Linked DNA regions of Mus musculus: regions 2, 3, 4 and 5 are each reported to be linked to region 1. The links are microRNA targets in miRTarBase. Many come from high-throughput screens and were not tested one by one. Region 1 holds a microRNA gene; each other region holds the end of a gene's coding sequence.
Evidence for each region. The annotated mature microRNA mmu-miR-883a-5p reads UGCUGAGAGAAGUAGCAGUUAC and lies in region 1 at 1,363-1,384, opposite strand. An mRNA with a match to its seed (bases 2 to 7 or 8) in the 3' UTR can be bound and repressed. Matches are read on the target gene's strand: a 7mer-m8 pairs with bases 2 to 8, a 7mer-A1 pairs with bases 2 to 7 and ends in A, and an 8mer does both.

Region 2: the mRNA of Itgav is a reported target of mmu-miR-883a-5p. Seed matches in the 3' UTR shown: 7mer-m8 at 2,978-2,984.
Region 3: the mRNA of Cdk9 is a reported target of mmu-miR-883a-5p. Seed matches in the 3' UTR shown: 7mer-m8 at 3,485-3,491, 7mer-m8 at 3,141-3,147, 7mer-m8 at 2,399-2,405 and 7mer-A1 at 1,689-1,695.
Region 4: the mRNA of Nif3l1 is a reported target of mmu-miR-883a-5p. Seed matches in the 3' UTR shown: 7mer-A1 at 1,222-1,228.
Region 5: the mRNA of Medag is a reported target of mmu-miR-883a-5p. Seed matches in the 3' UTR shown: 7mer-A1 at 2,538-2,544 and 8mer at 2,587-2,594.

What each region holds. Positions count from the first base shown.
Region 1 is chrX:66,779,441-66,783,960 of GRCm38, forward strand. It overlaps Mir883a (microRNA 883a), which reads right to left and starts at 1,393; the gene lies at 1,318-1,393. Mir742 (microRNA 742) reads right to left here and starts at 997; the gene lies at 933-997. It also overlaps the pseudogene Gm14681.
Region 2 is chr2:83,802,611-83,807,130 of GRCm38, reverse strand. Itgav (integrin alpha V) reads right to left here. Exons shown (of 30, transcript NM_008402.3): 29 at 4,129-4,251; 30 at 214-3,891. The coding sequence ends at 3,796. Among named protein-coding and RNA genes, the nearest start is that of Fam171b, 7.7 kb to the left of the region's middle.
Region 3 is chr2:32,704,251-32,708,770 of GRCm38, forward strand. It overlaps Cdk9 (cyclin-dependent kinase 9 (CDC2-related kinase)), which reads right to left. Exons shown (of 7, transcript NM_130860.3): 7 at 1,532-4,039. The coding sequence ends at 3,674. Among named protein-coding and RNA genes, the nearest start is that of Cdk9, 6.3 kb to the right of the region's middle.
Region 4 is chr1:58,460,907-58,465,426 of GRCm38, forward strand. It overlaps Nif3l1 (Ngg1 interacting factor 3-like 1 (S. pombe)), which reads left to right. Exons shown (of 7, transcript NM_022988.3): 7 at 235-1,370. The coding sequence ends at 419. It overlaps Orc2 (origin recognition complex, subunit 2), which reads right to left. Exons shown (of 18, transcript NM_008765.3): 18 at 1,865-3,384. The coding sequence ends at 3,298. Among named protein-coding and RNA genes, the nearest start is that of Gm23966, 3.5 kb to the right of the region's middle.
Region 5 is chr5:149,429,001-149,433,520 of GRCm38, forward strand. Medag (mesenteric estrogen dependent adipogenesis) reads left to right here. Exons shown (of 5, transcript NM_027519.4): 5 at 787-2,723. The coding sequence ends at 911. Among named protein-coding and RNA genes, the nearest start is that of Tex26, 8.4 kb to the right of the region's middle.

The DNA.
Region 1 (4,520 bases):
AATACTACCTAGAACCTATCAAAAATAACTGAATTAAAGAGCAGTACTTTACCTGGAAGATTTGTCGGTAGTCCAACTGTCTAACAGCTTCTTGAGTGAGATATAACATAAAGCATGAAGATATGGAGGTATCATCCATGTAGGCTAATCATCCCAAGCAGTTTTCATCACTTCACCAATTACAGCATGACATATTAACATTGATTTATTTATTTTCAACTGTTTGGGAATACAAAATATACTTTGTCACCTTGCATGATAAAGGAAGACCTCTTGACCTATAGCCAGATAGCCAGTGTGACTTTAAGATTAATCAGTGATATACTTTGCAAATGACTTTTAAAAACTAGGTAATGAAAATCTTCTAAAAGAATCAGAATATTGGGAGCATAGGATGAGAATACAACACAATTGTACCTGTATATCGCTGTTCAATTACTGGAGAAAGTTACAGAATACAGAAGATAGGAACTTGGTCTATTTAAATTCAAATCACTGATACCATCATAATTTCAGTGACTTGAATTTAAATCTGTTTGGTTCTTTTTCACTTAGGGCCATATTTATAAAGGAAGACTCTAATTACTTGTAGCTTTTCAGTCCACTTTCGTGCACTCATCATCTAAGTTGTCACAAGATATTTGAATTGATATTCAGTTGGGCCTGAAATCATTGATTGGTTTTATTTCTGATATTTATATTCATGATCCCTATTGAGACTGGCATGCAATTTTCTGTTCTTATAATTTGTATAATTTGGGTTCTGTGCAAGCTAGAATAATGCTAACTTCCACAACATTTAAACTTAAAAAAAAAATGAGAGCATAGTTTCTTCAGGTACAAGGAAGCAGATTCTGGAGCCATAATAAGGATGTATAGTTTCTTCATCTTTACTACCCAAGGCCACAACAAATGAAGAACATGATGAGCTTTACTTTACCCAGCATGGTGGCTTTCACCTACACTTCACGTGATTAGCAACCATGTGAGTAGAGCACTGCCCAGGTACTCTAGAACCAGCCCATCTGAAGTCTTTATTTCAACATGTGAAATAAAATTGAATAGAACATTGAAGTAAGTCGTCAACAATAATTACTTTTTTTTTTTAACCACACATTCTTCTTCGAAGCTGTCTTCTCATGTTCCACCATTAGGATTTTTCTTAGTATACTTCTAAAGTTCTACAACCGTTCTCTTCTCTATGGTTATAGATCTGAAGATATCATGAAGATGGATGAAGTATAATCCAGAATCAGTACATTTATCTTCTCTATGAAGGCATAATATGACCATATGGCTACCATCCCTGCGTTTGTTGAGCCTTACAATACTGAGAGCTGTTGCAGTTACTTATAGAATAAAGTAACTGCTACTTCTCTCAGCATTATAGTGCACACGAATTATTATTATTATCAGCTGACTTCAAAAACAACTTTCATGATTCTTCTCAGTATGACATGAATGCAATGTTATTTCTTTACACATAATTCCTCAGGAAGTATAATCATATTTTCCATTATCTTCCATCTCCATTTCAAGGTATCAGACTTGCTTCTTTCTTGATACTCCTCGAATCTGTATGAATTCAAGAGGTTAAGAATTAACAAGTCATAGCCGGGCGTGAATCCCATCACTCGGAAGGCAGAGGCAGGCGGATTTCTGAGTTCGTTTAAGGCCAGCCTGGTCAACAGAGAAACCCTGTCTCAAAAAAACAAAACAAAACAAAACAAAAATAGAATTAACAAGACAAATATTCTTATAAATATATAGGTCAGGTGACACCAAAGAATAACAAATGAACAAGGCAAGACCTCAAGATACCTGCAATGATTTAGTCATCAGCATCAAGAGAATATATCAAATGAAGGCTTCAGTATGTATTAATCTGTACTTTGAGATAGCATAGACTGATCCTTTGTACTTCATCTCAACAACAACAATTTCATCCAACAGCTTTTATCACAATCTTCACAATTAAACACACCCCCACTAAACTGTGTCTGTAAATGTTTGATTTCACACTTAAGCTGATGATATTGAAAATCCAATTGATTTTGCATGTACATTTCACATAAAAACCTGTCACTACCCTAACTTAAAGAGAAATGATGATCACAACAAAACATATTCTTTTATCAAACTTAATTATAATTATGACCAAAGTGAATATGAAATTGTAAAGGATTAATAAAAATATAATTTAAAAAATGTGGATTTTAGGTCAAAAGTTTTATGGGTGGGTTCGTGTCCTTATCTTTCACAGGAGGTCCTGCCTGTTTATAGGAGGTGGCCTCTTCAGGTTCCATGTCCACATTGTTAGGCATCTCAGCTAAGGTCACACACAATGGCTCCTGGGAGCCTTCCCTATCCTAGGTCTCAGGGTCTGCTTAGAGATTACCTCCACCCGTAAGTCCCCTGCAAGATAGAGATTTCCATTCATTCTCCTGGGCCTATGGGCCTCTTTCTTTTCCCTTCCCACACCTGATCCTGCAAACATATCCCCCTCACATACCCACATTGCTCCCTCTGCCTCCCATGACAGTTCTGTTACCCTTTTTAAGTGTGATTCAAGCATCTTCAATTGGGCCTTCCTTCTTGTTTAACTTCTTAGGGTCTGTGGGCGTATGTCATGGGTATAAGTATGTACATACCATGCATGTTCTTTTCTGTCTGGGTTATCTCACTCAGGATATTTTCTAGTTCCATCCATTTGACTGCAAAACTCAGGATGTCCTCCCTCTTAATAGCTGAGTAGTATTCCACTGTGTAAATGAAATACATTTTCTCTATCTATTCTTCAGGTGAAGAATATCTGGGTTGCAGTATTGCTGAATCTTCAGGTAGAACTATTTACAATTTTTTTGAAAAAACACCAGATTGATTTCCAGAATGGGTCTTCAAGATTGCAATCCCACCAGCAATGGAGGAATGTTCTTCTTTCTTCTCCACATCCTTGCCAGCATCTGCTGTTGCATCAGTTTTTTATCTTAGCTATGCTGATTTGTGTAAGATGGAATCTCAAAATTTGTCCTGTCTAAAAGAAATGCAGGGACAAAGATAGATCAGAGACTGAAGGAATGGCCAACCAATAACTCGTCCAAAGTGAGATCCATCAAATGAAAAAACACCAATCTCTGACATTATTAATGATACTCTGTTATGCTTGCAAACTCTGTTATGCCTTGAGAAGTTCCAACCAGAAGCTAAGTGAATAGATGTAGAGTCCCACAACCAAACATTGAACAGAGGTTTCAGACGACTTATGGACAAGTTGGGGAAAGGACTGAAGGGCCTGAAGGCAACAGGAACACCATAGGAAAACCAAATATGTCTACTAACCTGGACCACTGGAAGCTACTGGAGACTTTTTCACCAACCAATGAGCATACATCGGTTGGACAAAGACCCCTGGCACATATGTAGCAGAGGTCAGCCTTGTCCTGCCTCTGTAGGAGAGGATTATCCTAATTATGCAGACTTGATGAGCCTGGATGAGGGGCAATGGAAGAGGGACTGTAAGGGAGGCAACATGAGATATAAATAAAAAACATGATAAGACCAAATTTAAGTATTATTTATCTATAAATCAATCTTTGTAGAGACTGTGCTAGAAGCAAAACTTCACCTTGTGTGAGGAGCCGCCCTCACATTTGCCATTATAAGATGGCACTGACAGCTGTGTTCTAAGTGGTAAACATAGTCTGCACACATGCAGGGGCAGTTTTCCCACCATGTGTTCTGCCTTTCCCGTGATGACAACTGGGCCGATGGGCTGCAGCCAATCAGGAAGTACTACATCCTAGGTGGAGGATAATTCTCCTTAAAAAGGGATGGGGTTTCGCCATTTGCTTGCTTGCTCTCTTGCACTCTGGCTCCTGAAGATGTAAGCAATAAAGCTTTGCCGCAGAAGATTCTGGTTTGTTGCGTCTTTCCTGGCCGGTCGTGAGAACGCGTTAATAAGAATTGGTGCTGAAACCCGGGATCGAACCAGGGACCTTTAGACCTCTCAGCAATGCAGGCTTAGCGGCTGCCATCCTTCAATCCCAAAAATGCTCCATGGGCAGAAATGATCGGAGGACATGTTTTAACTGCAGAAAGCCTGGGCATCTTAAGAAAGATTGCAGAGCTCCAGATAAAAAGCGGGGAACCCTCACTCTTTGCTCTAAGTGTGGCAAGGGTTATCATAGAGCTGACCAGTGTCGCTCTGTGAGGGATATAAAGGGCAGAATTCTTCCCCCACCTGATAGTCAATCAGCTTATGTGCCAAAAAACGGGTCATTGGGCCCTCGGTCCCAGGGCCCTCAAAGATATGGGAACCGGTTTGTCAGGACCCAGGAAGCAGTCAGAGAGGCGACCCAGGAAGACCCACAAGGGTGGACCTGCGTGCCGCCTCCGACTTCCTACTAATGCCTCAAATGAGTATTCAGCCGGTGCCGGTGGAGCCTATACCATCCTTGCCCCCGGGAACCATGGGCCTTATTCTCGGCCGGGGTTCACTCACCTTGCAGGGCTTAGTAGTC
Region 2 (4,520 bases), not on the chromosome of region 1:
TAAGAATGTATCTCCTTCCGAGGAATGTGTCTTAACACCAGGCTCCCTTTGCCTTTTGTTTGTTGGTTCCCTTCCTTTAGATAACTATACCCTTAAATCTTTGCACTTGTAGGGAGCTGTGTCACCACCCTGAAGTCACTGTTTGATGCAGTATCGCTGGTTCCCGTAATTAGGAAACATGAGCTCATAGGAGAGGATAGAATCCACACAGGAAGCTGGCACCACACGTTCAAGTTTATTGTACAGTCACAAGTTACACACTGGAAACAAAGCAGAACATGGTACCTGCTTTTACTAACTCAAAACAAGTTAGCAAATGACAGATTTCAGGAGAGACTCATCTTATGTCTCACCCAATGTGGGTGATCACGAGAGAAGCCAAAAAAAATTATCTTCCAGGTTACTTAGCGAGCAAAAGAATTTGATACACACAGCTTCCAAGTTACCTTAATATACTGAAAGTGTTTTAAAACTGGTAAGGAATAGTTCATCTTCCACCTAAAATAAAATGCAGATTGGATGGTTTAGAGGTAAAAAAAACAAACAAACAAAAAAAAAAAAGCAAAGAAAAAGCAAAAAACAAAAAATTTCACCTATATATCTACAACTACAGCAGAGTTGTTCTTTTCTGCTAACAAAAAAATACTAATAAATTTCGGATTAAGATTACTAAATAGTGACTTATATTTAAGTTTCGTTACATTGTTATATTGCACTTAAGAACAATGACAACAAAATTCAAAGATTCAGTACCTCACAGGAAGTCCATGACATATCAGAAATTATAATGAATGCCAGTGTATACTGCAGATGGCATAGCCACAGGTTCATGGTTCAAATAAAAGGACCAAGTCCAAAGAAACCTTTACAAATTACTAGACATCAAGCAATTGTATTTGTCTTTTTAGATCCCATAATACATTTTGGTCATCTCCCCTTACTCATCAAATTAAATGTACAAGCTAGCCACGAGTAAGAACAAGGTGACACAGAGATAGGCAATGGCCACACACAGAGACTCTAGAACAACTTCCTTTCCTTCTCCTTGAGGCTCTCCCCAGAATTCTCTCAAATGGGGATGGATGCCACCTTGGCCTTCTGTTGCCCTACAAGAACCAGTTGCTCTACCAATATATACTTTGCCACTAAATTCCCTCCTCGGGGTTAGACTCACTACAGAAACTCACACTGTTCTCGTAAGGCGGCAACAAACTCTTGTCTGCTCTTAGTGATTTTCCTCATTATATAAATAATGTATTCATGAGGATTTACTATTAATAAGTAATATTGTAATACAGGTAGATTTAAGACAATATTTTGACTGTTTCACCTTCCGTAGTCATTCAGAACACAATCAGAATTATGATGATAATTAAACATAAGGGAGGAAAGTAACCCTCACACAGATGTTTTAAAGTACCAACTCTAAAATAAATATCTCTATAAGAAATCAGTATCCACGTTAATATTCCTCACATGTGTCAAATGTCCTCTGGATCAATCAATTTCTTTAATTAACCTATATTATGAAAATTTTATGCTTAGAAATAAATGTTAATTATTGGTAAATTACAAATATGAATCTAAAATAATCTCTTGCTATTTTGTTGACTACATGCCTATGCTGTTATGGGATAAAGAGTATCTCAACATTTTTTTCAGAGTGTTAACTCTCAAATTACAGTTCCTAAGTTTACAGAGATACAAATTTATATTTTTTAAAAGAAAATCCATGCTATTGTTGAAAACTACATCATGTTAATTTCCAATTACAAATATCTTTCAATCTCTAACAGAAAGTTATTCCTTGGCATAGAAGCCATAATAGGAATAACTGTAAAAATCAATATTGATTTTTACAAAGAATGAATTTCATTGATTTTCAGGAATGACAACTATTATGTTGACAGACAAAGAAGGTAAAAGTTTGTATAGGCCAACTTAGTGACCTGTGTGGTAGTCCTAAGTAGCTTAGAGACACTTGTCCCTAAGACCAAAATGTTTCTTAAAAGAATTTAAATGTATTGGTTTAAAAAAATAATTATTGCATATATGATTATGATCTTTCAAGCCAGAACTCATTAATTTAAAATTTTATTAAAGCTAAATATAGGGTCCTGTCTATATTCTAATTCGTACAACTCACATAAATGTGCTTCATGTTATGAAAATATATTCTCCAAATTAGCTCATCCATATGCACATGGAATTAGCCTAAGATACGGTGAGACAAACTTCAATTACTTTTAAAATGTAGAAAAATATTCAATTATTTAAGAGAAATATTTTTCATTGCTTAATGAGGACAGCATTTTAAAAAGCTATTAAAATTCTCAACTTCCAATGCATAACATGATGTAATTGCACAAAAATAGAGCTATAATTGATAGTTATCCCGGGGCCTTGAGGAACTGTGAATAAATCACCACCACTTAAGACGGTCCCGTGCTTCCTCTGCTGCCTCTATTAAAGTCCCAGAAAGGTAATTTAAATTAAAAAATGTAAGACAGAGTTAGAAGGTTTAAGGAACAAGAACTGCTTACAAAAACACCTTTGTAGCATTCTTTCTGACAGTGGAGGCAGGTTTTATAGATCACCTTGCTTAACCTGAGGTTCTACCATGCTATTGCTAGAAACCATCCCATGAGCCACCTTTGGAATGTGGGTCCCAGGCATCTCTCGTGGGGTAAGGGCGCGAGATCCAGGTTCCTATAGGTTATGAAGAAGGTCTTGAGCCATTCTCAGTTTTGGAAGTGGAAGGAAAATATGAGGACAGGAGGAAAATAAATTACTAATAATTAAACGCTCTGGTCCAATTAAAGAATGTCTTTTTGATGAGCAGTTAGAGTAGAGACCCATGGAGAGTCTCCAGGGCTTTTCCACATTGCAGGCAGCCAAACAAAGGGAATAGATGTACTTCAAAAACCCCTTCCAACTCCACGGGCTTCAGTCAGCAGCAGCAGCAGCAGCAGCAGCAGCTGAGACCACACTATTACTTAACGGGTATTTTTAATTATAAAATTTTCTGCAGGAAACGACTTAAAGGATTTGATGTAGAATTTAAATTACAAAAGTTAAAATACAATAAGACACAATGCAGACTACACATAAATAAAAACCTAACTTTCATATAAAAATACTGTACCATTGTTAATACAGGAAACTGCTGGTTTTCCTCCCAGTGTGCAGGATTGAACCCAGGGAGTTGCACACGCTTCGAAGTGAGCTATAGTCCCAGGAAAGAATTTTGATGGTATCGTGTTATTTAAAAGTTCTACTGTGTAAATGATATTAAAATCTAAGTCCATGCAATTGCAAAGTCTTCAGTAGCTTATGAAGTCAACTGTAGTGTAATGTGTACCTGTTCTAAGTGCCTGTGCAAACTTACTGATGGTCTAAATTTGAACTGCTTTACAATCCTAATTGCCCTAACGTAACGTCGAAGAGAGAAACCCCACACAGTCAATTAGGAACAGTAACTGAAGAGGTACTATGCTATGTAACGTGCTGACTCAGTGCTGTCTGTCTTATGTACACTGAACAAAGATAATCACTTGAAATTCCATCACTTAAGTCCCTAAGAACACACGTTAGTGTAGGCGAAGTAAATGTAATCTGAACTTATTCATAAAGAGAAGTCGACAAATATCCATTTCAATTTTGTGGATAAACTGAGACTGCTGGGTGCTCTCAGCAATACAGTCCTGGGATTTCACTGTTCACGAGAGATGTTGAAATCCACCACCACGGTGGTGAACTTGGAGCGGACAGAAGTGGCGCCACTTAAGAAGCACCTTAGGTTTCAGAGTTTCCTTCGCCATTCTCATGAGGCTGAAGCTGTTCTCTTTCTTGCTCTTCTTGAGGTGGTCGGACACGTTTGAAAAAGCCCATCTGCCAGTTAAAGAAAAAGCATAGTTCTAGCTCAGTAACAGATCGCTGAAAGTATGACCGACTCTATTATCACCTCGAAAATTCAAATGGCGTTTTTGTTTAGTGTCCCATCCTGAAATAAGCCCTGCTCACCAGGCAGCAACACTGTGGGTCCTTTTCTCCTTTTCTTTACTCCCTTCATCCTGTCCCTTCTTCTCTTATTCCATCCCCCTACCCCCTTCAACGCCCATTACTTACCCTGTACATTACAAATACCAACACAGCCAGTAGCAGCAGCCCTGCGAGAACTGCCAAGATGATCACCCACACAGGCACAGGCATGGGCGCCGGCTGAATGCCCCAGGTGATGTTAGTGGTGACCTGTTGCAGAAAACACACTGAGTCTTAAATAGCTCACTGGCCTAGTCAGTGAGTACTCAACTTTCTTTTAATAATAAATTTAGTGGTAGTCACACCACGTTCTTTTTCTCATACAATCATTTAGTGAGTGCACGTTAGGCATCCATAGCACATGCGTACACACACACACAAAAGCGCACACACAAGACTCTGACAATAGGTTGACATCAGATTTAAATTGAAATGACTAGTAAATTTCCCAATACAGATCATGGCAGCTGATCCTATTT
Region 3 (4,520 bases), not on the chromosome of region 1:
ATGTCCAAGTCCTGGGGTTGGCCTTGCTGCCCAGGTGAGACTGGCTCTCCCTGGCCTCTCCTAGCCCTCCAGGTCACAGCCCACCTCCTCTTACAGTTGGCCCCATCTGGCTGGCATCCTACCTGGCAGGACCAATAGAGCAAGACAAAGAAACACAGGGGCAGCACGGGAATGAGGCGACCTTGACCCAGTTCAAGTTTACTGGAGAAGAGGCCCTGTTTTACCAGATCAATTGGTTGGAAAAAAAAAAAAAAGTCAGGATGCATGACAAAGTCCTTGGACTGCAAATGACATCAAGAAAATGAGTCTAGGCCGGGCATGGTGGCGCATACCTTTAATCCCAGCGCTTGGGAGGCAGAGGCAGGCGGATTTCTGAGTTCGAGGCCAGCCTGGTCTACAGAGTGAGCTTCAGAGAAACCCTGTCTTGAAAAAAAAAAAGAGAGAAAAGAAAAAGAAAAAAAAAATGAGTCCAGGCCTTCTTCCCTAGTGTTTCTGACTCAGTCTAATGTGCATCAGACTGGCACACAGGGGTGACAGTGTCTAGGAGCTGGGAACAAGACCCACGTTACAGCTGGGCATCGGGTCTGGATACTGAAGCAAGCCCAGCTCCTTCCTAGAGGGAGGAGTGGGAGGCTTGGAGTCAGCTGCTTCAGGGATTTTTACAGAAACATTAATTTCACGTGTGCAGGTGTCATGTGTGTGTGTGTGTGTGTGTGTGTGTGTGTGTGTGTGTGTATGTGTGTGCTTGCGCATGCGCACCACAGAGCTCCTGTGAAGGTCAGGGTCTCCCACCATACAGGTGGCTGAGCGGGAACTCTGGTCATGAGGCTTTGTCCTTAGGGCACTTTCACCATGGAGCCATTTCAGCAGCCCAGCTCCAGAGTTTTAGGCCGGCTCTGTGGCTTACCACACAGATATAACATCCATTAGGAAACACAGAGGCATGGAAAGTCAGAGCTACGCACTTTCACCAAGTTCTAAAGCTGGCCTTGTGTCCGTTCCAGCCTCACCAGCCTGAGGCCTTTGTCCCCACACCTACCCTTGCGTCCTCAGCTGCTCTGCACATTCCTCATTCTGCATTCTGAGTCCATGACTTTGTAATGAACGTAAATGTTCACACACACGCTTGTGTGTATAATGTTCATGTGTGTGTGCAAGTGTGTGAAAATCAGAGGTTGACTGGTGTCTTCCTCAACTGTTCGTTTTTTCCTTTTTAAGACAGGGCCTCAGCTGGGCAGTGGTGGCACATGCCTTTAATCCCAGCATTTGGGAGACAGAGGCAGGCAGATTTCTGAGCTCGAGGCCAGCCTGGTCTACAGAGTTCCAGGACAGCCAGGGCTATACAGAGAAACCGTCTCAAAACAAACAAACAACAAAAAGACAGGGTCTCACACTGAGCCTACTGACTCAGCCTGACTAGCTGGCCAGAAAGCCAGACCCCTCTCACCTCCTTAGTGCTTCCTTGTGCTTGGACAGCAAGCACTTGACTGACTTGCCATCTCCCCAGGCCTTCACTTTTTTTTTTTTTTTTGAAAGATTTATTTATTATCACACATAGTAAGTACACTGTAGCTGTCTTCAGACATACCAGAGAGGGCATCAGATCTCATTACAGATGGTTGTGAGCCACCATGTGGTTGCTGGAATTTGAACTCAGGACCTCCAGAAGAGCAGTCAGTGCTCTTAGCTGCTGAGCCATCTCTCCAGCCCCAGGCCTTCACTTCTAATGGACTCTACTCCATCAGAGTAATTAATTGGAACCTACTAGAGCCTGAATTCCCAGCCATGAAACTTAACCGGAAAATGGCGACTGGAGAAAGTCCCCTGGGCTATGGTGAAGTCTAAATCCAACAATAAATCTATTATACACAGTGACTTCCAGGAAGCTGCGGAGGGAGTCAGTGAATACAAACCCTGAGACTGGGCGTGGCTCAGTGGTAGAGCACTTACCCGGTTCTGGGTTCAATCTCTAGCAAAGGGCTGAATTCCTTGAATACTTCAGGGGAGATATTCTGAAACAGAACAGCTCTATTAGTTTGTCTTCATGCCACTGAGCATTTGAAACCTGCTGGTAGCCACAAAGACTTTTCTAAGTTCTCGCTATAGCGGGTTGAATAATGTCCTCTCCAATCATGCCCTAAGCACGTGGCCTTACGGGGAGACAGTCTCCGCAGACATAACTGATTAAGATGGGATTATCCCGGGCAGTAAACCCAACGACAGATATCCTCACAGATACATACACAGAAGATGCTGACGGATGGTTTCCAGGACCAAGATTGCTGTGTAAGTGATGGCGCACACCTGTAACCCTAGCTCCCTAAATAAAGGAGGAAGCAGGGAGACCTGCAGTTCTGGACATCCTAGTCTACATGACAGCTTTGTCTCAAAATAAAGGGCTGAGAGATGGCTGCATGGTTAAAAGTTCTAGCTGCAAATCCAGAGGATCCTGGTTCAATTCCCAGCACATACACGGCAGCAGCGCACAACCACCTTTAACTCCAGTTCCAGGGAATCAGCCCTCTTCTGGCCTCCCTGGGTACCAGGAATACATAAGAGCATAAACATGCAAGGAAAAAAGAAAATACAAAATCACAGGCCAAGTACTGTATCAGCTCCCAGAGCTAGCTAGCGGACTAAAACTGTCCTTTTCAGGCAGCTCTGTGAGAAGACTCCAGGAAACTCTTGGGGAATCTACCGCCTAGGTCAGTGCCCTAAGGGTCCCTACCCTGCATCCTTAGGACCATCCCATCTCCACACTGGCCTTCCATCCTGCCCTCACCCCAACCCATGCCACCTGACCCCACTCTGGCCACTTCTGTCCTGCTTCCCCCAAGCCCTGGAGCTACAGGCTACACTTGTCACTCCATGACTGTAAGGCTGCAGTGCCCTGCTTATGAGTCCAGTCTGAGGATTTAGGAGCCAAAGCAGCCCGGGTCCAGCAGCTCACTCCAGCTCAGCTTACAGCACTTGCCAACACCAAGCACAGGACACTGGCACCGTGGACACGCCTTCAGCGGGGGTGAAGAGCGCAGTGGAAGGTACCCAGGAGGAGAAGAGGGCAAACCCTGAACGTCTCCAGAGTGTTGGGTGGTACAGAAGAACTGGCAGTGTCCTGGCTGACCAAACCCTAGCTTCTAGCTGAGACAAGAGCTGAGGGAAGGTCTGAACACAGGAAACGCAGCCATTTACTGGAAAAAAATAACCAACTTTTAATTTAACCAATCAAACTGCGTCCAGGAATGTCTCTAAACTTAACAAAACAAAATAAAATTCTCCTTTTAAAGGAACCAGGAGTTCACACAGCCCCACGCCCCTAAGGTCCAGACCAAAAGTAGCCCATTTTGGAGGCGCCTCTGTCCCTCAAACTCTCATCCAGAGGAAGAGCTGGCGATGGCGAGGGACCTGTGCCTTCCTCCCACCATGCAAGTAGTTCTTAGAAAGTCACAGTGGGTGAGCCTCTCCCACCTCACTTTGTGTCCACGCTGAGACCTCCAGAGAGGGGCAGGCAGGATAGCTCCACCCCAGCCCACTCAGGCAGCTGTTCCCAGTGCCAGGGTGGGAGTTAATATGTACTGGAGGAGAAAATCTCAAATGTCCCATCATGTCACATGTTCCATGCAAAGGAAGCAATCCACTCCTAACCTAAGAACAACACCGGCCAGTTCCGGCCTCAGAAGACACGTTCAAATTCCGTCTGGTTGGTGGTGGCGGGATTTCTGCTCTGGTTGGTGGACTGCTGGGTGATCTGGCTGCCCTTCCGCCGTGGCGGTGCCAGGTACTCAAACATAGACGTCAAGTGAGTAGACAGCATGCCCTTGAGGTCCGAGGGCATGGGGTCCGACCAGAAGAAGTCGTGGTTGAGGGCATCGTCACTGTCAATCCGCTGCGCGGGGTCCAGCACCAGCAGCTTGTCAATGAGGTCCAGAGCATAGGGGTCGCGCACGTAGGCCTTCAGACGGTCCTTCACCTTCCGCTTCTGGCCCTTCACAAGTTCCAGCTTTTCAAACAGCTCATACTTGTCTACGTTTGGCCACACCTAAGAGAGGCGTTGAGGAGAGAACGGAGTTGGAGTAAGACTGCTATCTGAGATGCCAGGGGAGTGGGTTTCTAAAACAATTTCTCTCAGAGGTTCCCTGAGCTCCCCTCCATCGCAGAGATCATGTCTTCAAGTTAAAAGCACCAGTCACCAGATGGAGCACACCCCTAGTGCCCGAACACAAGTCAGCTGCGATAAATGTGCCAGCCCCCATCCAGGCACATTCCCATTTTACAAACAAAAAATAAACAAAACAAACAAACAAAAAACCACACGAGCTGGGCAGTGGTAGCGCACACCTTTAATCCCAGCACTTGGGAGGCAGAGGCAGGCGGATTCCTGAGTTCGAGGTCAGCCTGGTCTACATTGAGTTCCAGGACAGCCAGGGCTATACAGAAACCCTGTCTCGAACGAAATACCAAGAAAAAAAACCCCAATAAAACAAAACAAAACAAAAAAACCAAGAAACTCTGTCTCTAGA
Region 4 (4,520 bases), not on the chromosome of region 1:
TGATGTGTACAGTTGAGTTTGAACTTTTTTTCTGTGCTCAGCAGCAAAACACAGGACCTTGTACCCGAGGCAAACATCCTACATCTGACCATACCATTTGTCTTCCATTTCTGTGCCCAGTAATACAGAACTTTGTTCACTCATCCAGAATACAAACAGGAGCTTTCTGCTGAAGGAGCCAGAGTGCTCAGACTGAGTCTGATATCTAAGTTGCTGCTCTTCCCTTTTTCTCAGGTGAAATGTCCCACCATGATGTTCTGGATGCTGCTTCCAAAGGGATCAATGTCATCCTTTGTGAACACAGCAACACTGAAAGAGGCTTCCTTTCTGAGCTTCAAGAAATGCTGGGTGTTCACTTTGAGAATAAGATTAACATTATCCTGTCTGAGACAGACAGGGACCCTCTCCGTGTGGTTTAAATGCAAGGACGTCAAGGACACCATGATGACAGAAGCCACAGATCACCTGGATTGAAACGGCTGTGCAGGAGTTGGTGTTCCACCCTCTGCAGAGCTGTATTGGACTTCTCATTTCAGTTCACGACTCTGGCTCAACAAAAGCCATAGCTCATTCGGTAAAACTGTCTGTAAAGAGTACATTAAAGGCAAACCTTCTCTAATTTTTGTTTTGTTTCTTGGTGGTGCAGGGATCAAACTGGACACTGTTTACCACTCTAGTTGGCAGCATGGACTTGAGAGTAGGGCCTAAAAATGAGGTGAGCTGATGTCTCACGCAATAGCCAAGTTTATTCAGAGCCATCGGACAATTTACACTCTGAGGGCTAAGAGTCAACTGAATAAAGGCACAATCACAAGGACAAGCCTCATGTAGCAAAACCATGGTTTCCATGGAGGTGTATGAACAATAAGAATAGCCAGCCAACTGTAAGGAATGATCTAAAGTCACCTCACTCCTATCTGCTTGCTCCACTGGGGAAGGGCACAGAAGCACATCCCAAGAACAATTTTGTGTTTTTGAAGAAACTGTTTTCTCACAAACACTCAGAAGTCCCTCACAGGACTGGACTATTCTTGGACTATGTTCTAGCTCTATGAATGGAAGGCAAGTGTTCTACCACTGAACTCCAAACTCCTCCTAATTAATGGTGTTAAGTGTTCAAAATATGACTGATTACTACCCAGCATTTTCTGCAGTCACTGTACAAGCCAGACCCAGAAAGAAACTGGGGTGCCCGGGGGGAAGGGGTGGCTGGAGAGATGGCTCAGCAGTTAAGGGCACTGACTGCTCTTCCATAGGTCCTGAGTTCAATTCCCAGCAACCACATGTAATGGGATCCAATGCCCTCTTCTAGTGTGTGTAAAGACAGTTACAATGTATTCACATACATTAAATAAACCTTAAAAAAAGGACACACTGTATTTCTCTATGAAGAACCTAGAATGTATGTGTGTGTGGTGTGTGTACGTAGGTGCACACAGGTGATAGAACCAAAAAGGGATGAGACAGGACGAGGTTTTTTTTTTTAAGGAAAAAAAAGAACAAATGAGGGTGATGGGATGCACATGCTAAGAAAGCAGAGGGAACATGGCTTTTGGGGAGGGGGCCAGATGAGAACCAATACAGGGATACTATGTATTTGAAAGGGCATAAGGGAATCCATTACTTTTGTATGCTAACCTAAAAACTAAAATAACATCAAGAGTTCCCCCAGTGAAATTACACCTCCAGCCCAGAAACCAATTAGGCAGGAATTAGAGCTTCAAGTCAGGTTATAACTGCTAGGCATGAAGGGACAATGCTGCTCAGAGAAGGGGGTGAGTGTATAGCGATCTGCCTAGGTACCCATTAGATTTGTACGATGCATTCAATCCTTGCCAGACACTTCAAAACAAAACTACAAAAGGACTCTGCAAACTGCACTTTGATTTATTAAGAGCGACATCTAATAACAAAAACTATAAAGGCAACTGCAAAGATGTCACATTCTATAATCAGATGTTTGTTTATACTGTAGGAGTTACACTAGAGAAATTAAGCAAAACTGTGAAAGTACATGGAGTTGGGGGGATGTCTCAGTGGGTAAGAAGTACCTGAGTTTGGATCCCAGCACTCACAAAAAGCTGGGCATGGCTGTGCCTGTCACACCAGTACTGGTGTGAAGACAGGATCACTGGCAGCCCATCTGGCCTACAAGGAGCTCTGGTTCAGTGAAGAGAGGCCTTGTCTCAAGGAAATAAGGCAGAAGGTGGTAGAAGACATCTTACTCAGTCTCTGCACAGACACCCACATACCACATTCCACACAAGCAAAGTGCAGACCAGCAGGTTTCATGTTACCAATGTGTATTTATTTACTGAATGTTTGTTTTTGAAACAGGACATCACCGCAGCTTAGACTGGTCTAGAACTCACTAACTAGTCTAGGTCTTGAACTCATGTTTTCCTCTGCCTCTGCCTTCTTGATGTTGGTATTACAAATGTGAGCTCAGGTCTTGTGTCTTAAAGGAGAGAAGCAATCCGTCTGCCTCTGACTCCTGAGTGCTGGGATTAAAGGTGTGCGCTACCTATCCCTGTGAGCTATTTAAGAAAATAGAAAATGTCAATGTACAAGAATGATGAAATGTTTTTATTTTCTACTGTACTGAAAACAATAAAATGTAAATCAGGACTTTATTTCTTAGCCTGGCTTCTCCTGGTACCGATACCAACGATTTTAAATATGCTTTCTAGATTGGACACATGCTCCACATATGCACACATCCCTTGTACTTCTCCCGTGATCTCATTTGAACAGTGCTGGCTGTCTTTATTTAGCATGTGTGGCCTAAGTCCACAAGGAGAAGGCTGTGTCATCTCAGTCCACTGACATCTTCTACCATCATCTCAGGAGAAGCAGGACACCTCCTTCCTCATCAGTCCCGTGAGAACGCTACTCTGAACTCTTGTCCTCTGACCGTCTGAAGCAAGTGCACTTGTAGTAATTCAGCTCTGGAGTGTTAAATTGCCCTCAAAAATTAGGGATAGCATTCAGTATAAAATAACCCAAAACCATCCAGTTCCAAAGAATCCCTGAGCACACTGTACAACCAGCAAGAAGTCTCCAGAGAAGTAATAAATTAAAGGCACTTTTATCCAACTCAACGACCACTGCATAGTATTAGAGACAGTACACCAGCCAGGCTAATCAAAGTTCAAATTGATGCTATGCCTCTTCCATAGAACATCTTGTATGCTGGAGAGAATGACCTAATGTTGGATGTAAACCAGCATTCTTACTGAGGAGCAGCAGCTGGGCCACAATGAGGCTTCCACAGAAAGTTCAAGGATAAGAGACAGCCTATGCCTCCTCCTCTTCCTTCTCCAAGAAATCAGCCAATATTCCGCTGTCAACAGGAATTAATAAATATTCTACACCATCAGTTCCCTACAAGAGAAAAGAACATTCCATCTGTTAACCCCTTGTAAGGAAGCTATCTGGACCTTTCTGTTGAAGGTTAAACAAAACAAAAAAACCCTGAATTTTAAATTTATATTTATTTGTTTATTTTGGGTTTTTCAAGACAGTATTTCTCAAGACAGGGTTTTTCTGTGTGGCCCTGCCTGTCCTAGAACAAACTCTTGTCCAAGCTGGCCTCAAATTCAATGATCCACTTGACTCTGTCTCCGAAGTGCTGAGATTAAAGGCCTGCACCACCATCGCCCCACAGATTTTATTTTATTTTGGATTTTGAGACAGATTTCTCTGTGGAGTCCTGGCTGTCCTGGAATTCACTCTCTGTAGTCCAGGGTGGCCTCCAACTCAGATGCTTCATGTAGCTGGACACTCCTGCTAGATCCTCCATCCTGTTCCAAACCTGACAGGGATTTTTCTGTTTTATTTCCCCCAGTACAAGTTTCATCTTACTGACTTCTGTTGTGTTTTGCGACAGGGTCTCAATATGCATGTAGCCTTGGCTAGCCTGGAACCCATGGATATCTGCATGCTTCCTCCTCCCCACCGCAGGAATGAAAGTGTGCCAGGCCTCCTCCAGCCTTCACCTCATTTGGAAGACATTCAAGTAGCTTTGGCCTCAGACTATCTTTTGGAGTTGTAGAGATGGCTCAGCACTAAGAATATAACTGCTCTTCCAGAGGATGGGTTTGATTCTCAGCACCTGTGTGGCAGCTCATACCTGTCTATAACTCCAGTTCCAGGGATCCATCGCTCTCTTCTAGTTTCTACAAGCACTAGGCATGCACACATACATGGTGCAGATACAGATAAAACATGTATGCAGTAAAATAATTAGAAATCATTTGTTCAGGCAGGCAGGAATTCTGGACTGCTGGTGCAATGCTGGCGGCAAGACAAGTGGGAGTGCAGTGTGTGCCACAGTTCCCTGGCAGAGGAAGCTCAGCTCAGCCACGGGTACCTGGGTCTGTTCTCAGGCGACAGCATATGCACACTCAAAACTCTCCTCATGCACTTTCCTATTCCTGCCTGATAACCTGGGTTTCCTTTATTAAAAATGATTAGTACAACTGCTAGTTATTTTCAACAAATAAAGCCATTATGTTCAG
Region 5 (4,520 bases), not on the chromosome of region 1:
GGGTAACAAAGTGTCACATTCCCTAGAAAGTCACCCCTGAGCCAGATCTAGGGTGAGCCATGGAGAAGACGGCCCCCTGGGATTGGCTGCCATTGCAGAAAGCACAGCTAGGCACACCTGTTGCACTGGCAGGCTGCCAAGCCTGGCATGCAGCCCTTAGACTGACTGCCAACCTGGTTCTGTCCACTTCAGAATCTGATCTCTAGCTGGGAGTGTGGCTCAGTAGAAGAGTCCTTGCTCCTCATGTGGGAAGCCCTTGTTTTCTTCCTCAGTCCTGCAAGATGAGTAAACCAACCAACAGTCAGAATCTGATTCCTGACCCATGACCCCTGACTCCTGACCCCTGACCCTGGCCTGTGTCTCAAGCATCCCTTTCCCAATATGTGCTGCTGTACTTCAGGTCTCCAGCCCAATGGAAAGTGGTTATAACGCCCTGAATGCCCATCAATATTTTTGTTGTTGTTTGTTTGTGAAGGAGTCTCATTATGTAGCCCTCCCTGGCTAGCCTGAAACTTGCTGTGTAGACCAGGCTGGCCACAAACTCACAGAGATCCACCAACCTCTGCCTCCTGAGTGCTGGGATTAAAGGTGTGTGCCATCACACCCAGCCAACAGTCATAGCACAGATAAGCAGAAATCAATGCACTTCTGCTTAGTTTTTGAGTGTCCCCGTGGAAGCCAGGATTCCCTGCTAATTGCTGAAATGGCTGTTTTGGATGAGTTTCAGAGACACTCTTTCTTTCTGTAGTGATGGTTAAATGAATGCCTTATTTACTGTGTTTTTAGGTTCAATAGATGACGTTTTCAACTGCAATCTGTCACCCAGATCATCGGTTACAGAACCACTTTTGGCAGAATTCTCATTTCCAAGTCTTCTGGAATGTGAAGAGACATCCAGCCAACTTATCTGATTGGTCTGAACATTCAAGCTGTCGCCCTTTGGGGGTCTGTGGCACACAGTGGGTTAAAGGGGTAAAAGAAGGCAGGGAGTGGACATTTCTATCCCTTTGCCAGCCTCTGGCCCTCCAAGGTTCTATAGAGGACCCCCTTTCCCATCCCTAGGCACTGGCAGGCCCAGTGGCTTCCGTCAAGGTTATGATTATGGGATGGAAGGATTTTGTCTCTGTGGCATAGGGTGTCATTGACATTGAACACTTCTCTGAGGAATTTTCAGGGGTAACCAAGCACCCATGAACTTTGCTTAGTACCCTGGCACTCTGAAGACCCTCCTGGCAACCTCTGTGGGAGGCATCTGACTGGGATGCTAACCTGTGATGTATCCTGGATCACAGAATGGCCCTCTGCAGCCAGCAGCCCCAGCAAGCCTTGGGGCTAAACTCTTCTCTTGCAAATATGTCAGGTAAAGCCAGTACTGATATTTCCCTGGGAAACAAATCTGATGTCCAACCTGCCACTGGAATGAACATTCAAGATACTGGCTGCTGAAGGATCTCTGCAGGCCACCAGGATGAGCCCTCCCTGAAATGTAAAGCCAGGTGGGGTGCCAATCAACCAGTGACAAGGGAGGGTCCTCCTCCCTACAGGTACACCGTAGTAGTTGGTGTTTGAAATACACTTTAACAATCTTAATATGAGAAAAAGAGCCCAGGGAAACTAAGCCATTACCATGGTACACTGGACATCAGGGCGCTTTCTGCCCCACAGCTCCAGTGGGATTCACTGAAAGGGGAAAAAAATGATCCAATCCACATATAAAAGTTTGCGTGAGTGGCCGGGCCTGGTGCCTGTAATTCTAGCACTCGGGAGGTGGAGGAAGTAGAATGAGGAGTTCAAGACCACCCTTGGCTACATCAGGAGTTCAAGGCCAACTTGCTCTGTTACTACAGGAGACTGTCTAATAAAAACAAACCTGCATCATTGCACATGTAAATTTGCACCTATACTCATAAGAAGGCAGATTTATGGGCCCCTAGTGGCATCTTTTCTGTCCTTCTAAAAACATATTCCCACACTACATATTTTGATAGCAAGGTTGATGGCCAGCCATTTGTATCTGAGATGCTACCTAGTACATATGCACAATTAAAAGTTTTCTTAGCGTTCAACTTGTAATGGATTTAATTTGTGGCTAAAAAAAGGTACAGGGTAGCCCCTTGAGGTCTGTGGGTGGTGTGGTTGCTCTGTGGAACACTAAGAATGGGAGGGTTGTGGCTTTAACAGCTGCTACCTCAAGAAGGGACTTAGAGAGAGAAGCCATAGAGTATTTGGAGAAAGAAAATGAAGGTTGAGAAGGAGAAAAGAAAGTGTCACTTCGTCATAGGAGGATAAATATGTTATTAAATTCAGTAAAAAGGAAAATAATAAATTCTAACCGGTTCTCCAATCAGCAGAAATAAACCTTGGGTACACAGCAAGAATTAAACTCTTCCCAAAGGAAATAAAAACTATTCATAACATTGACAATTTTCTTTTGAAACTGAACTGAGAAAATAGTCAGTAATCACCCCAGGAAATGGACTGAAGATCTGGGAAGTTAATTTCATCATTAAGATGTCTTAGTTGGGCTGGAGAGATGGCTCAGCAGTTATTAGCATTGACTGCTCTTCCAGAGGTCCTGAGTCCAATTCTCAGCAACCACATGGTGGCTCACAATCATCTGTAATGGGAATCCGATGCCCTCTTCTGGTGTGTCTGAAGACAGCTACAGTGTATTCACATACATTAAATAAATAAATAAATCTTAAAAAAAAAAAAGTCCTACTAACAGGCATTGTGGGTCCCTTGTTTAAAAAAATCTTTTTTTAGTTGATCCAAAAGTTAAAACACACTGGATGATAGTGTATCTTATTGACAAATATTTCAAATTAAGATTGGCAAATCTATAAATTGGTGAAAACTCTTCCTGGCTGAAAGAGGCTCCAAACTGGACATGCACATGGCCTGGTGTGGACAACCGGCATGTAAGAATAGTACAAAGTCTGTAGGATGACTGTCTTACACAGGGTTTCTATTCCTGCACAAACATCATGACCAAGAAGCAAGTTGGGGAGGAAAGGGTTTATTCGGCTTACACTTCCATACTGCTGTTGATCACCAAAGGAAGTCAGGACTGGAACTCAAGCAGGTCAGAAAGCAGGAGCTGATGCAGAGGCCATGGAGGGATGTTCTTTACTGGCTTGCATCCCCTGGCTTGCTCAGCCTGCTCTCTTATAGATCCAAGACTACCAGCCCAGAGATGGTCCCACCCACAAGAGGCCTTTCCCCCCTTGATCACTAATTGAGAAAATGCCTTACAGCTGGATCTCATGGAGGCATTTCCTCAACTGAAGCTCCTTTCTCTGTGATAACTCCAGCTGTGTCAAGTTCTCACACTGTACAATGGCTTTACGGCTTGTGGTCACCCAAGCTCCTATTGATACTTTATCAGCAGTCACCTGATCTTGCATCTTGATTAGCATATATTAACTACACATACTGATGATGGGTTTCATGATAATTTCATACATGTCCACAATGTGTTTCAATTATATGCACTTGCCTCCCCTGTTACCTGATAACCCTTCTACTCCTTCTAATTCCATGGTTGTTTTCTGAGAATTTCTATCTGGGGACAGTGACTTTTTCTAGGGCTCCATAGCTGCCATGGCCTTCGTGACACTGAGATCCAGAAGGCCTCAGGAAGGTCCAAGGTCTGTGGTGGCCCATTCCATGTGCCTGCATGGCTGAACTAAGGAGACTAGATTTGGTCAAGCATCATTCTGGATGCTTCTGGGAAAGTCAACACGAAATTGCTGAATTTTGAGTAAGGCAGGAAAGTCCTCTTTAATGCAGGTGGGTCTTACTTAGTCACCTTTGGGTTTAACTATGAGAGACCTCTCTGCAGCAAGAGGAAGTCTGCAAGTGTTCACAGCCTTTGGGCTGCAGCTCTGCTACTTACCGAGTCTCCACTTAACTGCTTCGTCCTAGATAGCGCGCCTAAGAAGGTCCAAAAACCCTGTGCAATTTCTTAAAGCAAAACTGCAGAACTGAGTATCGGATAATCCCAGCATTCAGGAGGCGAGGGAGAAGGACCAAGAACTCATAGTTACATAGCATGTTCAAGGCTAGCCTGGGATATGTGAGGTCTTGTGTCAAAATAAGCAAATACCCAAGGAGAGAGAAAGAGAGATGGAAAAGAGAAAGGGAGGGAGGGAGGGAAGGAAGGAAGGAGAGAGGGAGGGAGGGAGGGAAGGAAGAAGGGAGAGAGGGAGGGAGGGAGGGAAGGAAGAAGGGAGAGAGGGAGGGAGGGAGGGGAGGAAGAAGGGAGAGAGGGAGGGAGGGAGGGAGGGGAGGAAGGAAGGAGGGAGAAAGAGAGAAAAAGAATGAATGAATGAATGAATGAATGAATGAATTTCTTGCTCATTTGTTTCTAGAATCTTAACACAGAATGAATCCACAAATTTGAGATAATGTCTTAGGAGTTCACCAATTAGCTAGAAAGAACACAATGTATTTTTCACACATTACTCGATGCAAACAACACACGCTACCTAGTAACAGTGTCTAACTTAAATCCAAGA